Linked DNA regions of Anolis sagrei. The protein of the gene in region 1 interacts with the protein of each later gene in a pairwise test. Links are inferred from orthologs where the notes say so. Each region holds a gene or a part of one and is shown on either strand. Other genes may lie near its edges.

Region 1 (8,472 bases):
AGACCAAGCAAAAAAAAAAATGAAAACTATGGTTAGAAGTTAAGTAAAAATACCCAAAGGCTGTACAAAACATGGGAAACCCTCAATGTGGACTACGTTGATATGTAAACAAGGCAGAGCTTGAGACATTTTGGGCCAAGTTCCCAGGATCCCCCTAGCCGGTATGGCCAATGTTAAAAGGGAATAGCTGTGTTAAAATAGAAATATTTATTTCATGCCTGAAGTTATGTGTAAGGAAAGCTGCAAAGCAATGTGTAGGAAGTGGCTCTCACTCCTCGTTCAGCATGCGTCCCCTTTCTTGCTGTTCAACTTTGTCTTATGGCAACTCTATGCTTTTTCAAGTTGCCTATTAATCCACAGTCCTGCTCAGATCTTGCAAACTCAAACTTGCAAACTGTAGATTCCTTAATTGAGTCAATCTGTCTGGGTTTTGCCCTTCCTCTTTTCATTCTACTGTCTACCTTACTTTATTTATCTTTTCTTGTGAGTCTTCTCTTGTCATAAATGTGACCAAACCACTAGAACAATTTCTGTTTGGCTTCTCAGGAGGAGTTCTGGCCTGATTTGATTTGATTCAGGACTTGCAGATTTGCCTTTTCAGCAATCCAGGGTCTCCCTAGAAGTCTTTTCCAAATCCACGTCTCAAATGAATCAATTTTCTTCCTATCACAAGCTTGTAGTATCGCATCGGAGAATATTACCCTGTGAATCATTGTGACATTAGCATTCAGTGATACAGTACTGTATTATGATCTTGACTCGTTCCGTCATTGTACATTTTCCTGTTCTGTAGTGTCTGCGTTTTTTAAAAATAAATCTTTTCAGAAGGTAATGTAAAAAACAAAAAAACACAAGTATGTCCATTTGCTTTTTCTTGATCATCCCTTTCTCTGCGTGCTTTCCAAGCTGAGGTCCCAGCCCCTGAAAATCCTGACAGTATTTACACAGTAGAATCGATGCAGTTTGAACTCCATGCTATGGAGCCCTGGGAGTTGTAGTTTGGCAAGGTAAAGCATTATTTGGCAGAGAAGGCTAAAGACCTTGTAAAACTACAGGTCCTTAGGTTTCATAGCAGTGAAAGTGGAACCAAATGGCCTTAGGCTCCTTCCTTCCACACAGCCACGTAACCCAGAAAATCCCACCATATCTGCTTTGAACTGGGTTATCTGATTCCAGCTCAAAGCAGATAATGTGGGGTTGTATTCAGATGTGTGCCAGGGGCCTTAAATCAACCAGTGCAGATGCGCCTTGGGCTGCCATCCTGCCCCCATTTACTTGGGAACCGGGCTTCTGAAGAGGCAGATACAGGATCGAACTGGAAAAGTTTGTAGTTTCCACCCTGGAGTCTGTTGTCCAAAGTGGAACCAGATGCTTCTAAGGCCTCGTCTACACAGTCATATAATATTTATTTATTTACCGCATTTGTATACCGCCTTTCTCAGCCAGAGGCAACTCAAGGTGGTTCATAGTCAGCAGCGATTCGATACCATAACAGTTATCAAAATACAGTTAAAACAATTATCAAAACAATTCAGCATTTTAAATGTAATATAAAAGAAACAATAATGTCTGTAAAAATAAAATCCTTGGCATCTCCTTACTAAAATCGTCAAATTGCATCATTGGTCGTTCCATATATTGGTTTTCGTCTAATTATGCTCCAGTAGTAAAAGCTTGCTCAAAGAGCCAGGTCTTAACCATCTTGCGGAATGTTCAAAGGGAGGGAGCCCATCTTGTATCCCTGGGAAGGGCGTTCCATAGCTGAGGGGCCACCACTGAGAAGGCCCTGTCTCTCGTCCCCACCAAACGCATCTGCGAGGAAGGCGGGATCGAGAGCAGGGCCTCCCCAGACAATCTTAAAGTCCTAGATGGTTCATAAGAAGAGATATGTCCAGATAGGTAAATTGGACCAGAACCATTAAGGGCTTTATAGGCTAAAGCGGGGAGCCCCCAGTGGCGCAATGGGTTAAACCGCTGAGCTGTTGAGCTTGTTGACCAAAAGGTTGCAGGTTTGAATCTGGGGAGCAGCGTGAGCTTTCGCTGTTAGGCCCAGTTTCTGCCAACCTAGCAGTTTGAAAACATGGTGCTCCATACAGTCATGGCAGCTGCATGACCTTGGAGGTGTCTACGGACGACGCCGGCTCTTCGGCTTAGAAATTGAGATGAGCACCACACCCCAGAGTCGGAAACAACTGGACTTAATGTCAGGGGAAAATCTTTACCTTTTTTACACTAAAATAATCCAGTTTATGATAATCTGGATTTTACATGGCAGCATAGAAGGGGACTAACCTGCCACAGAACCCAGATTATCAAAGCAGATAATCTACATGATCGGCTTTGAACTGGATTATATGAGTATACATTGCCATGTAATAATCCAGTTCAAACCGGATAATCTGGATTTTACATGGCAGTGTAGAAGGGCCTAACCTGCCGTAGGAGCCCCTGGTGGCGCAGTGGGTTAAAGCACTGAGCTGCTGAGCTTGTTGACGGAAAGGTCACAGGTTCGAATCCAGGGAGCGGCGTGAGTTTTCACTGTTAGCCCGTTTCTGCCAATTTAGCAGTTCGAAAACATGCAAATGTGAGTAGATAAATAGGTACTTCTCTGGCAGGAAGGTAACGGCGTTCCATGCAGTCATGCTGGCCATATGACCTTGGAGGTGTCTACGGACAATCTTCGTCTTAGAAATGGAGATAAACACCATACGCCAGAGTTGGACATGACTGGACTTAATGTCAGGGGAAAACCTTTCTAAAGCCAGCACTTTTCAATTTTTTCTGCTTTGAACTGGATTAAATAGCAGTGTACACTAAAATAATCCAGTTTATGATAATCTGGATTTTACATGGCAGCACAGAAGGGGCCTAACCTGCCATGAAACCCAGATTATCAAAGGAGATAATCCACATGCTCGGCTTTGAACTTGATTATATGAGTCTACACTGCCATATAATCCAGTTTGAGACAGATAAACTGGATTTTACATGGCAGTATAGAGGGGGCCTAACCTGCTCCCTCTATACTGCCATGTAAAATCCACATGAAGATAGTACACATGATCTACTTTGAACTGGAATATATGAATCTACACTGCCGTATAATGATCTGGTTCAAACCAGATAATCTGGATTTTACATGGCAGTATAGAGGGGGCCTAACCTGCCACAGAACCCAGATTATCAAAGGAGATAATCCACATGATCGGCTTTGATCCCATATAATCCAGTTTGAGACAGATAATCTGAATTTTACATGGCAGCATAGAAGGGGCCTAATTTGCCACAGAACCCAGATTATCAAAGCAGATAATCCATGTGACTGGCTTTGAACTTGATTATATGAATCTACACTGCCATATAATAATCCGGTTCAAACCAGATAATCTGGATTTTACATGGCAGTATAGGGGACTAACCTGCCACAGAACCCAGATATCAAAGCAGATAATCCACATGATTTGCCTTGAACTGGATATCACTCTACACTACATATAATCCAGTTTAAGACAGATAATCTGGATTTTATATGGTAGTATGGGCCTTAAGAAGCGTTGCTAACAACAAGGCAGCAGGGGACGACGAGATCCCAGCTGAACTGTTTAAAATCTTAAAAGATGATGCTGTCAAGGTGATGCATGCCATATGCCAGCAAATATGGAAAACACAAGAATGGCCATCAGACTGGAAAAATCAACTTATATCCCCATACAAAAAAAGGGAAATGCTAAAGGCAGCTCAAACTTACCTACAGTGGCCCTTATTTCTCATGCCAGTAAGGTAATGCTCAAGATCCTGCAAGGAAGACTCCAGCAATACATGGAGCGAGAGTTGCCAGATGTTCAAGCTGGGTTTAGAAAAGGCAGAGGAACGAGAGACCAGATTGCCAATATCCGCTGGATAATGGAGAAAGGCAGGGAGTTTCAGAAAAACATCTACTTCTGCTTCATTGACTATTCTAAAGCCTTTGACTGTGTGGATCATAATAAATTGTGGCAAGTTCTTGGTGGGATGGGGATACCAAGCCACCTTGTCTCTCTCCTGAGGAATCTGTACAAGGACCAAGTAGCAACAGTCAGAACTGACCACGGAACAACAGACTGGTTCAAGATTGGGAAAGGCGTACGGCAAGGCTGCATCCTCTCCCCCAACCTTTTTAACTTGTATGCAGAACACATCATGCGATGTGCGGGGCTGGATGAATGCAAGGCTGGGGTGAAAATTGCTGGAAGAAACATTAACAACCTCAGATATGCAGATGACACCACTCTGATGGCCGAAAGCGAGGAGGAGCTGAGGAGCCTTCTAATCAAGGTGAAAGAAGAAAGCGCAAAAGCTGGGTTGCAGCTAAACGTCAAAAAAACCAAGATTATGGCAACAAGAATGATTGACAACTGGAAAATAGAGGGAGAAACCGTGGAGGCCGTGACAGACTTTGTATTTCTAGGCGCAAAGATGACTGCAGATGCAGACTGTGGCCAGGAAATTGGGAGACACTTACTTCTTGGGAGGAGAGCAATGTCAGTCTCGATAAAATAGTAAAAAGTAGAGACATCAGACTGGCAACAAAGATCCGCCTAGTCAAAGCCATGGTATTTCCTGTAGTAACCTATGGATGTGAGAGCTGGACCTTAGGGAAGGCTGAGCGAAGGAAGATCGATGCTTTTGAGCTGTGGTGTTGGAGGAAAGTGCTGAGAGTGCCTTGGACTGCGAGAAGATCCAACCAGTCCATCCTCCAGGAAATAAAGCCCGGCTGCTCACTGGAGGGAAAGATACTAGAGACAAAGTTGAAGTACTTTGGCCACATCATGAGGAGACAGGAAAGCCTAGAGAAGACAATTATGCTGGAGAAAGTAGAAGGCATAAGGATGGCATCCTTGAAGCGACTGGACTGACCTTGAGGGAGCTGGGGGTGGTGACCGCCGACAGGGAGCTCTGGCGTGGGCTGGTCCATGAGGTCACGAAGAGTCGGAGACGACTGAACGAATGAACAACAACAACAACATAGAGGGGGCGTAACCTGCCATGAAACCCAGATTATCAAAGGAGATGATCCACATGATCGACTTTGAACTGGATTAGATGAGTCTACACTGCCAGATCATCTGGATGTAGCAGGGACCTAGGATTCCCAAGCATATTTCCCGCCTTTTTGCAGCTGCTCAGCCTTTACTGGGAGGAGCCTCTTTGTCTCCCCGGAAAGTGCTGGGCGGGGCTTTGCACCAGACCAGGAAATTCAAAAAAACCCATTGCGGGAGTCGGAAGTGGCCGAGAAAGAGAGAGATCGGGATCCTTTGAGCTCTTGGATTTTGCTTTAAAGAGGCCCCTTCTCTCATCAGGTTGGCTTGCGTTTCCTTTCTTTCTGCCTTCGGGAGTGGGGTGGGAGGGGAGGAAGCGGGAAGGAGGGCAGGAGGAGTCTTCCTTACAGGCGCCTGATTACAGCTCCCAGGACCACCATGGGGCAGCCCCAAGTGGAGCCAAACTACATTCACTCTGCTGTGTAGATAGTTACAGGTCGTTTTCAGAGAAGGGAGAGTCCTCTGCCACTTCCAGGAAGCCTATCTGATTCACCCCAGAAAACGAAACCCATTTTCTCAAAGCGAAAGTAACTCAACAAGTTCTCTTCCAGGCCGGATTATATGAGTCCCCACTGCCAGATAATCTGGGATAAACAGAAAACCTGGGATTGATCAGATCCTGGGATATATAAGGGCCTGCCTGGAAGGGTCCCAAGTTATAAGGATCTGGAAGGGTATGTCGCAGGAGATTTTGCAGCTCAGCACAATAACACTATGTCACAATTTAAAACAAATCTGTTCCTGGTTTGAAAGTGTTCTTTCCTGTTTCATTTTGTGATATTAGCTACTTTGAAAGTTGTTCTACTCCAGAAACTTCATTTTTGTGGCTGCCACAAACTCGGTTGAATTGGTTGAGACTGGATTGTAAAACTAAGCAAAATGTGCTGCAGGATGTCCCACAAAAGCAAGGTTTTCACAGTTTAAATAAACTTTTACCATGTTTGCATGATAGAACCAATTAGGAAATGACATTTACAACCCAGGAACAAACATTGTGTTACTTATTATTATTGTTGTTATTATGGAGATTCAAAGTGGCTCACAATTGAAAGCATTACAACTTAAAATATACATTATTATTATATTATGTTAGTAGTATTATATTTAATATATTGATATTATATTACAATATTATTTTCTATATTAGATTGTATTACATCATTATTATGGAGACTCAAAGCGACTCTCAATTGAAAGCATTGCAACTTAAAATATACATTATTATTATATTATGTTAGTAGTATTATATTTAATATATTAATATTATATTACAATATTATTTTATATATTAGAATGTATTATTAGAATTATATTGTATTACATTATATTATTATTATGGAGACTCAAAGCGGCTCACAATTAAAAGCATTACACTATAACTTAAAATATACATTATTATTATATGTTATTAATAGTATTATATATTTAATATATTAATATTATATTACAATAATATTTTATATATTATATTGTATTATTAGAATTATATTGTATTACATTGTAATATTATTATTATTACTATTACTATTATGGAGATTCAAAGTGGCTCACAAAAGCATTACAATACAACTTAAAATATACATTACTATTATATGCTAGTAGTATTATATTTAATATTAATGTTATATTACAATAATATTTTATGTATTAGATTGTATTATTAGAATTATTTTGCATTACATTATTATTATTATGGAGACTCAAAGCGGCTCACAATTCAAAGCATTACAATATAACTTAAAATATACATTATTATTATATGTTATTAGTAGTATTATATTTATCATATTAATATTATATTACAATAATATTTTATATATTATATTGTATTATTAGAATTATATTGTATTACATTGTAATATTATTATGGAGACTCAAAGCAGCTCACAATTAAAAGCGTTACAATACAACTTAAAATATTCATTGTTATATGTTATTAGTAGTATTATATTAAATATATTAATATTATATTACAATATTATTTTATATATTGTATTGTTAGAATTATATTGTGTTACATTACAATCTATATTATCTTATAATATTACAATATTAGTAGTACTATATATTGTATATGTGCTGTTTAACATCTACATGAAGCCGCTGGGTGAGATCATTCGGAGTTTCGGGGTGCGGTGTCACCTGTACGCAGATGACGTCCAACTCTGTCACTCCTTCCCACCTGCTACTAAGGAGGCTGTCGAAGTCCTGAACCGGTGCCTGGCCGCTGTAACGGTCTGGATGAGGGCGAACAAACTGAAACTAAATCCAGACAAGACAGAGGTACTCCTGGTCAGTCGCAAGGCCGAGCAGGGTATAGGGTTACAGCCTGTGCTGGACGGGGTCGCACTCCCCTTGAAGGCGCAGGTTCGCAGCTTGGGTGTGACCCTGGACTCATCGCTGAGCCTGGATCCCCAGGTTTCAGCGGTGACCAGGGGAGCATTTGCACAGCTTAGGCTTGTGCGCCAGCTGCGCCCGTATCTTGGGAAGTCTGACTTGGCCACGGTGGTACACGCTTTGGTCACATCCCGCCTCGACTACTGCAACGCTCTCTACGTGGGGCTGCCCTTGAAGACGGCCCGGAAGCTTCAGCTAGTCCAGCGCGCGGCAGCCATGTTGTTAACAGGAGCAGGGCGCAGGGAGCATACAACGCCCCTGCTGTCCCAGCTCCACTGGCTGCCGATTTGCTACCGGGCCCAATTTAAGGTGCTGGTGTTATCCTACAAAGCCCTAAACGGTTCCGGCCCAAAATACCTTGCAGACCACATCTCGGCCTACGAGCCCACGAGGACCTTAAGATCATCCGGGGAGGCCCTTCTCTCGGTCCCGCCTGCCTCACAGGCACACCTGGCGGGGACGAGGGAGCGGGCCTTCTCGGTGGTGGCCCCCTCGGCTGTGGAACACCCTCCCTACTGAAGTTAGACAGGCGCCCTCCCTTATGGCCTTTCGTAGGAGCCTGAAAACATGGCTCTTCGAGCGGGCCTTCAATTGAGTGCTATATCATTGGAAATGATGACCGGAATGGACTATGACTATGAAATCGACTATGACCCCAGGATTTGACGAAGCGGATTTTTAACATAAGTATATGTTAAGCGAGGAGGAGCTGAGGAGCCTTCTAATCAAGGTGAAAGAAGAAAGCGCAAAAGCCGGGTTGCAGCTGAACGTCAAAAAAACCAAGATTATGGCAACAAGAATGATTGACAACTGGAAAATAGAGGGAGAAACCGTGGAGGCCGTGACAGACTTTGTATTTCTAGGTGCAAAGATTACTGCAGATGCAGACTGTGGCCAGGAAATCAGAAGACGCTTACTTCTTGGGAGGAGAGCAATGTCCAGTCTCGATAAAATAGTAAAGAGTAGAGACATCAGACTGGCAACAAAGATCCGCCTG
Region 2 (8,078 bases), on another chromosome or scaffold:
TGCTACATTCATACGCGGCGCCTGGGGACATTTTTATGTATTTTGTATAGCTTGTAATCTTAACAAACATTGAGAGAAGTGGGGTGCTTGGAATTGAAGTTGTTTCACTCTTCCATGCTCATACACACTCTAATTATATACATGTTCTCACCACTCCTCTCTATTAGTGGGCTTTCCCCCTCTCCATTGTCACCAGCTGAACACCATGTACATTCCGATTTTAATTTTTAAAATGTGTATGTCACAATAATTATTTACAGACTGTATATAAGGCCCCTAGAATCAAAAGAAATGCAAAACATTCACTGATAATAACTCATTCTCGAATTGCCACATTTAAAAATCAAATCCCCCCCCCCCCACCGCCGCCCATGGGGCATATGCCCCACATTAGGAACCAGGGTTCTAGAGCAGGCATGGGCAAATTTCAGCCCTCCAAGTGTTTTGTACTTTAACCCCCACAATTCCTAACAGCCTACTGTTTGCTCATTGCCTGCCTTAGAGCCATCTTCACCTGCAACCTCTTATCAGGTAATGACACACTGGGGAGGCTTATCTGGATGTAGACTTTAGACTTGAAATGGTTTAATTTTACTGTATTACATCACCAACACATTAACAATTTACAAGCAGGTTAATGGACCATCCCATTATACATTGGGGAGGAGGCAGATAATGTATCAAGGGATCCCATACTTCCTTAATAAAAACCTCAGGATGACATATGTTTTATCCCTCCTTTTCATCTTTACACAAGCCTGTGACGTGAGTTTGGTTGCTGAGTGACTGGAAAAGGTCACCTGATGATCTTCATGGCTGAGGGTTGTACTTTAACCATTACAACAAACTGGCTATTATCCCAGATGGTACCACCTCACCCCTAATCCTGTTAGCTAGGAATTACAGGACACTATCTTGTCAATACAACGTAAGTGATTAGCTGGCATTCATAGCCCTTCAGGAGGGCATAATGTGTCCTTCCCATTATTAAAAAAAGTATTCCTTTCTCTTGGGAAAGAGAATAAAGTACTACAATCTCTTTCTATTTCATATAATATATTGAAGATATTCATTTGTTGCCTCTATTGTTATATAATATTTAAGATACTTATTAGTTGCTTCTCAACCTACCAGGACCCCAAAGCAGTGCATGCATAATGCATTCTTCCCATTTTTAGAAAGTTTTCCCTCATCTTGGAGCAGAGAATAAAGGATTTCAACCTTTTCTTATTTTTTATGTAATGTTTAAAACATTTATTTACTATCTCAACCTGCCAGAGCCTCTTGAGGCAGCATACAGTAGGGGGGAAAATATCTTAATCAGTAATATATGTATGATATATATATATATATATATATAGAGAGAGAGAGAGAGAGAGAGAGAGAGAGTTTTACTCAACACCGCATCACAATTATTAATCTGTACCTATTAAATAGTTATTTACAACACAACTGATATCGGCACAGGAACTGTTAACAGGAAAAAACAAAGATGGCACCTCTGTGAACATAAGGAGGAAGTTAGGTGGCCAGGTTTATCAATTCAGGCTTTAAATCAGGCATGAGGAAACTTGGGCTCTCCAGGTGTTTTGGACTAACAACCACAATTCCTAACAGCCTTCTGGAGGGCTCAAGTTTGCCCATGTCTGCTCTAAATTCTTCCTCTCAAGCTGTGAGGATCAAAGATACATCTCCACTGCAGAATGAATATAGTTTGACACCACTTTGGCTCAATGCTGTGGAAATCTAGAATTTGAAGTTTGCTGAGGCACAAGCACTCTGACCTAAAAAAAAGGTAAAGATCTTGTAAAACTACAATTCCCAAAATCCCATAGCATCGCACCATAGTAGTTAAAGTGGCATCAAACTGCATTAATTCTACAGCACCCTTAGTTTGAGACTGGTGAGCTGTCCTGCTTTGGAAAGCAAGAGGAAACATGGTGGGGAGGGTAAGAAAATATGTATAAGCTTGAAAATAACAGTAAATGCAAAAAGTTAATGTACTGTAGATTGTCCTGAATATTAGGTCTCTGCTGTAAAACTATATATATATATATATATATATATATATATATATAAAATTGTTATAAAATTAGCTGTCCCCTGCCATGTGTTGCTGTGGCCTAGTCTGTGTATATGTGTTTTGTGTGCATATATGTGTGTGTACATATTTGAGTATATGTATACTCAATGTATGGTTTCTTAAGTCTCTTCCGCTGTGTTTTACAATGTTTTTATAAGTGGTCACTCGTTGGCCTGACTGGTGTATAGTGTTCAAATTTGGTGTCAATTCGCTCAGTGGTTTTTTAGTTATGTTAATCCCACAAATGAACATTACATTTTTATTTATATAAATATTTCTAAAGGAAAGCAAGAGGAGTGACAAATGCCATTCTTGAAAGTCCCTAATGTGAAAGGATCCTTCTGAGTAATCCGTCTTCATTCTTCCCCTATCCATTCATTATTTGTTTAGATTGGAAAGCTTTCAACCTGTCACCTCCCTTCACTTGCCATCTGAAATGGTGCCACCCTTTCCACTGCCTCACTGGAAATGAGTGACAGCTCCTACACTTTTGATTCTTGTCGAAAGGAGGGAAACCCACCACATATTGTTAGTATTTTTTTCTGACAGATAATACTGGGTGACAAAGACATGGACAGACAGACTGAAGGATTGTTTTTGTCCTAGAACTGCGGTTTTGTTGAACTCTATGGCATCTCATTGATGTGGCATTGGGGGCTGTGTGGCGGTGATGGGGGTGTGATGGGATGGATGTGTTGTTTTGTGGTGTGTGTAGGAGAAGGCATGTAATTCTGTTGGACAATACAATAAGAAACAACGCTATTCTATGTTGTTTTTCACCTGATCAGCAACACCTGCTGAGATATCTGCTTTGAACTGGAATATATGGCAGTGTGGAGTCAGAAAGCCCAGTTCAAAGTAGTTATTTTGGGATTTTCAGCCTTGATATTCTGGGTTATGTGGCTGCGTGGAAGGGCCCTGAGTTATCTGAGTCCACACTGCCCTGTATCCCAGATCAGAGCAGGCCATGTGGGGTTTTATTCAGCTGTGTGGAAGAGGCTTAAGTCAGAGGTATCGAGCGTTTGGCCTTTCGGGTGACTGAACTTCAATTCCCCCAGCCCTTCCCCTTTCCAAAGTCATGGTGGCGCTGAGGGACCAGGCTCCACATACCTTGCTCTGAGGCCAAGCGGGGCCCGGGCTGACTTCGGCGGCGGGGACGACGCCAACGGGATCCATGGCTGACGGAGAAGCAGAGGCGAGAGAGCGAAGGGAAAGCGAGGCCAGCTGGCAACAACAACAAGGAAGACCACAAGGAGACCGGCAAGGAATGGCAGAAGAATAAAAACCTCTTCCGGCTTCTTCTAGGCCTGTCTTTCACTCTTCCCGCCCCCTGATTCCCAATACCAGGCGCCCATTGGTCCGTAGCAATTGCGTTGGGCTGTGCGTCACTTCCTTTGGAATCCCCCTTTCCCTTGACAGCCTCGCGCTTCCGCTCCCCCCCCCCTTTTTTAAAGCCATACCACCTGCCATTCTATTACACCACCTTGGCTCTTTTACTGACTCTACACTTCCCATCTTTTGACCCTTAATGTATGCCCTATATAGAATAAAATCATAATATTCAGAGGACCCTTCCACACAGCCCCATATCCCAGAATATCAAGGCAGAAAATCCCACATTACCTACTTTGAACTGGAGTATATGGCAGCGTGGCCTCAGATAACCCAGTTCAAAGTAGATATTGGGCCCTTCCACACAGCCCTATATCCCAGAATATCAAGGCAGAAAATCCAACAAAATCTGCTTTGAACTGGGTTATCTGAGTCCACACTCAGATAATGTGGGATTTTCTGCCTTGATATTCTGGGATATAGGGCTGTGTGGAAGTGCCCTGTAGGCCCTTCCACACTGCCATCTAACCCAGAATATCAAGGCAGAAAATGCCACAATATCTGCTTTAAACTGGGTTATCTGAATCCACACTGCCATATATCCCAGTTCAAAGCAGAAAAAGTGGGTTTTTATTCAGCTGTGTGGAAGAGGCCTGAGACAACTGCTTCCAGCTAATGTTTATAGCCCTGCCTGTCTAAGCTTCCTGATTTGGCATTTCCCATGCAGACCCTTCAATTGATTTCTTTTGCATAACTAAGAAAGGCTACGAGTTATTTATTGTTGGGTCCTTCCTTCCGTACAACTTCCATTCGGTGGTGTTTTTTTTTTATTGTGCTATAATAATAATAATGGGTTGTTGTAGGTTTTTCCGGGCTATATGGCCATGTTCTAGAGGCATTTTCTCCTGACGTTTCACCTGCATCTATGGCAAGCATCCTCAGAGATAGTGAGGTCTGTTGGAAGTAGGAAAATGGGTTTATATATCTCTGGAAGGACAAAGGACTTTTGTCTGCTGGAGCTAGGTGTGAATGTTTCAACTGACCACCTTGATTAGTATTTAATGGCTTGGAAGTGTCTGGGGGGAATCTTTTGTTGAGAGTGATTTGATGTGCCTGATTGTTTACTCTCTGTTGTTTTGCTGTTGTAATTTTTGAGTTTTTTAATACTGGTAGCCAGATTTTGTTCATTTTCATAGTTTGCTATGGCTGACTTCTCTGGTTGAAGTAGTCTGCAGTGCCTTTGCAAGTGCCTTGCAGTCCTTTGTCCCACCCTGGTCATTCCACAGATATATAAACCCATTTTCCCACTTCCAACAGACTCTGAGGATGCTTGCCATAGATGCAGGCGAAACGTCAGGAGAAAATGCCTCTAGAACATGGCCATATAGCCCGGAAAACCCTACAACAACCCAGTGATTCCGGCCATGAAAGCCTTTGACAATGATAATAATAATAATAATAATAATAATAATAATAATACTTTATTTATACCCCGCTACCATCTCCCAAGGGACTCGGTGCGGCTTACATGAGGCCGAGCCCACAATACATCAATAATAAAAGCAATAACAACAAATAATACAAAACAATAAAATAATACAAAATAATAAAATGTGAGTCTTTTTCCTGTATGTTTGTCTTGACAAACTCTTCTATCGATCTCTTCTACATGAAAAGACTGAGACTATTTATTTAATCAAACGCATTCTTCATACTCTTGCTATTTATTAATCAAATTAAATCAGCTCCTTGTCCCTTGTCGCCTTCTTCCTGAGTCTGCACTGCCATATAATCCAGTTCAGATCAGACACTATGGCTTAAAGAGCTGGGCATGTTTAGCCTGAAGAAGAGAAGGCTGAGAGGAGACATGATGACCATGTATAAATATGTGAGAGGAAGTCATAGAGAGGAGGGAACAAGCTTGTTTTCTGCTGCCCTGGAGATTAGAACGCGGAACAATGGCTTCAAACTACAGGAAAGGAGATTCCACCTGAACATTAGGAAGAACTTCCTGACTGTGAGAGCTGTTCAGTCGTGGAAGCTTCTGTGTGTTGGAGGCTCCTGCTTTAGAGGCTTTTAAGCAGAGGCTGGATGGCCATCTGTTGGAGGTGCTTTGAATGTGATTTTCCTGCTTCTTGGCAGAAGGTTGGACTGGTTGGCCAACGAGATCTCCAACTATATGACTCTATGGTTGCTAAGTTTTCCGGGCTGTATGGCCATGTTCCAAAAGCATTCTCTCCTGACGTTTCACCCACATCTACAGCAGGCATCCTCAGAAGAAACAAGGCAAGTGGGGTTTATCTATCTGTGGAATGTCCAGGGTGGAAGAAAGAAAGAACTCTTGTCTGTTTGAGGTAAGTGTGAATCTTGCAATTGATCACCTTTATTAGAACTGAATAGCCTTGCACCTTCAAATCCTGGCTGGTTGCTGCCTGGGGGAATCCTTTGTTGGGAGGTGTTAGCTGGCCCTGATTGTTTCTTGTCTGGCATTCCCGTTTTTTTTTTGTTTTTTTTTTTTTAGTGTTTCTCTTTATTTACTGTTCTAATTTTAGAGGGGTTTTTAAAAAAAATACTGGTAGCCAGATTTTGCTCATTTTCATGGCTTCCTCCTTTCTGTTGAAATTGTCCACATGCTTGTGGATTTGAATGGCTTTTCGGTGTAGTCTGACATGGTAGTTATTAAGAAGGTGATAGTATGGTTGCTGGGTCCGGAAGTTCCGAGTGTTACGCACATTCCACAATGGCGGTTGTGAATAAGGGAAGGGACCATGTGGTCCAGAGAGAAAAGAGGGGAGGGCTAGGATAAGATTTATGGTTAGGGTTTGGGGTAGGGTAAGGGTTAAGGCTAGGGTTACCCTTAGGGTTAGCGGTTAAGTTTAGGGTTTGGGTTAGGGGTAGGGTTACAATTAGGGTTAGCGGTTAGGTTTATGGTTAGGGTTTGGGGTAGGGTAAGGGTTAGGATTACAATTAGGGTTAGCGGTTATGGTAAGGTTTATGGTTAGGGTTTGGGGTAGGGTAAGGGTTAGGGTTACAATTAGGGTTAGTGGTTAGGATAAGGTTTATGGTGAGGGTTAGGGTAAGGGTTACAATTAGGGTTAGCGGTTAGGGTAAGGTTTATGGTTAGGGTTTGGGGTAGGGTAAGGGTTACAATTAGGGTTAGCGGTTAGGTTTATGGTTAGGGTTTGGGGTAGGGTAAGGGTTAGGGTTACAATTAGGGTTAGCGGTTAGGGTAAGGTTTATGGTGAGGGTTTGGGGTAGGGTAAGGGTTAGGGTTACAATTAGGGTTAGCGGTTAGGGTAAGGTTTATGGTGAGGGTTAGGGTTACGATTAGGGTTATGATTAGGGTTAGCGGTTAGGGTAAGGTTTATGGTTAAGGTTTGGGGTAGGGTAAGGGTTACAATTAATGTTAGCGGTTAGTGTATGATTAGGGTTAGGGTTATGATTAGGGTTAGTGGTTAGGGTTAGTGTAAGTTTTATGGTTAGGGTTTGGAGTAAGGAAAGGGTTAGGGCTAGGGTTACGATTAGGGTTAGCGGTTAGGGTAAGGTTTATGGTTAGGTTTAGCGGTAGGGTAAGGGTTAGGGCTAGGGTTATGGTTAGGGTTATAGTAAGTTTTATGGTTAGGGTTTGGGGTAGGGTAAGGGCTAGGGTTACGATTAGGGTTAGCGGTTACGGTTAGGGTAAGGTTTAGGGTTTGGGTTAGGGGTAATAGTATGATAGCTGGTTTCGGAAGCTCCGAGCATTATGGAGGTGCTGCATCGCTCCTTCGGGAGTGCTGTTTGTCCAAGAGATGCTTAGCTAATGTAAGCCAGGCCGGAGACAGATAATACATTAAGAGTACTTTAATGGTGAAACCCTAACCCTGAACCGTACCGTAAGCCTAAGCCTAATCCTTTACCCAAACCCAAACCCTTACCCTAAGTGTCCCCTCCTTTCTATCCATCCTTCTCTCCCGCACTCTCACTCCGCCCCCTCTCTTCCCTTATTCACAGCCGCCTTTGTGGCATCTCCATAAAATTCGGAGCTTCAGGACCCAGCTATCATACTATCACCATACTTTGTTGGGAGGTGTTAGCTGGCCCTGATTGTTTATTGTCTGGAGTTCCCTGTTTCTTTGTTTTTTCCAGTGTTCCTCTTTATTATAGAGGGTTTTAAAAAAAATACTGGTAGCCAGATTTTGTACATTTTCATGGTTTCCTCCTTTCTGTTGAAACTGACCACACGCTTGTGGATTTCAGTGGCTTCTCTGTGCAGCCTGACAAGGTGGTTGTTCAGAGTGGTCCAGATAATATGGATTTCATAGGGGCCTCTGCTACAACTCCCTGGATCCCATAGCATGGCTTTTAAAGCTGTGCCAAAGGGCAACGTTGTTTCTCCAGCCTAGGCATGCCCTGCGCCGGGTGCTTGCGTCGCCTCCCACCCTGGCTCCTCCTTCTCCCTGCATCACAAAGGAGGAGGAGGAGCAGCAGCAGGAAGAGCAAGAGACCTTTCCCTTGGCAGGAGGCGAAGGGCAGGATGAGCGCCGCCGTCCCGACCCTGGAGAAGGCCGAGGAGGAAGCAGAGGAGAAGGGAGACCCCGGGGAAGCTTCCAGGGAGGCCGCTCCCTCGGGAGAAGGCGCCCCTTCCCCTCCAGAGCCCGCCATGGCGCCGCCTCCTCCTCCCCAG

Evidence for each region.
Region 2: the proteins of caspase-10 (region 1) and RIOK3 interact in binary tests that used the Homo sapiens proteins (3 or more experiments, as listed by UniProt). The link is inferred for Anolis sagrei from reciprocal best matches to the Homo sapiens genes CASP10 and RIOK3.

What each region holds. Positions count from the first base shown.
Region 1 is NC_090021.1:164,450,070-164,458,541, forward strand, and holds the start of caspase-10, read left to right. Parts: upstream 1-5,216; 5' UTR 5,217-5,339; intron 5,340-5,444; exon of another isoform or gene 5,445-5,752; intron 5,753-8,472. UniProt on the Homo sapiens protein: Involved in the activation cascade of caspases responsible for apoptosis execution. Recruited to both Fas- and TNFR-1 receptors in a FADD dependent manner. May participate in the granzyme B apoptotic pathways.
Region 2 is NC_090024.1:59,771,073-59,779,150, forward strand, and holds the start of RIOK3 (serine/threonine-protein kinase RIO3), read right to left. Parts: upstream 3,417-8,078; 5' UTR 3,260-3,416; coding exon 3,194-3,259; intron 1-3,193.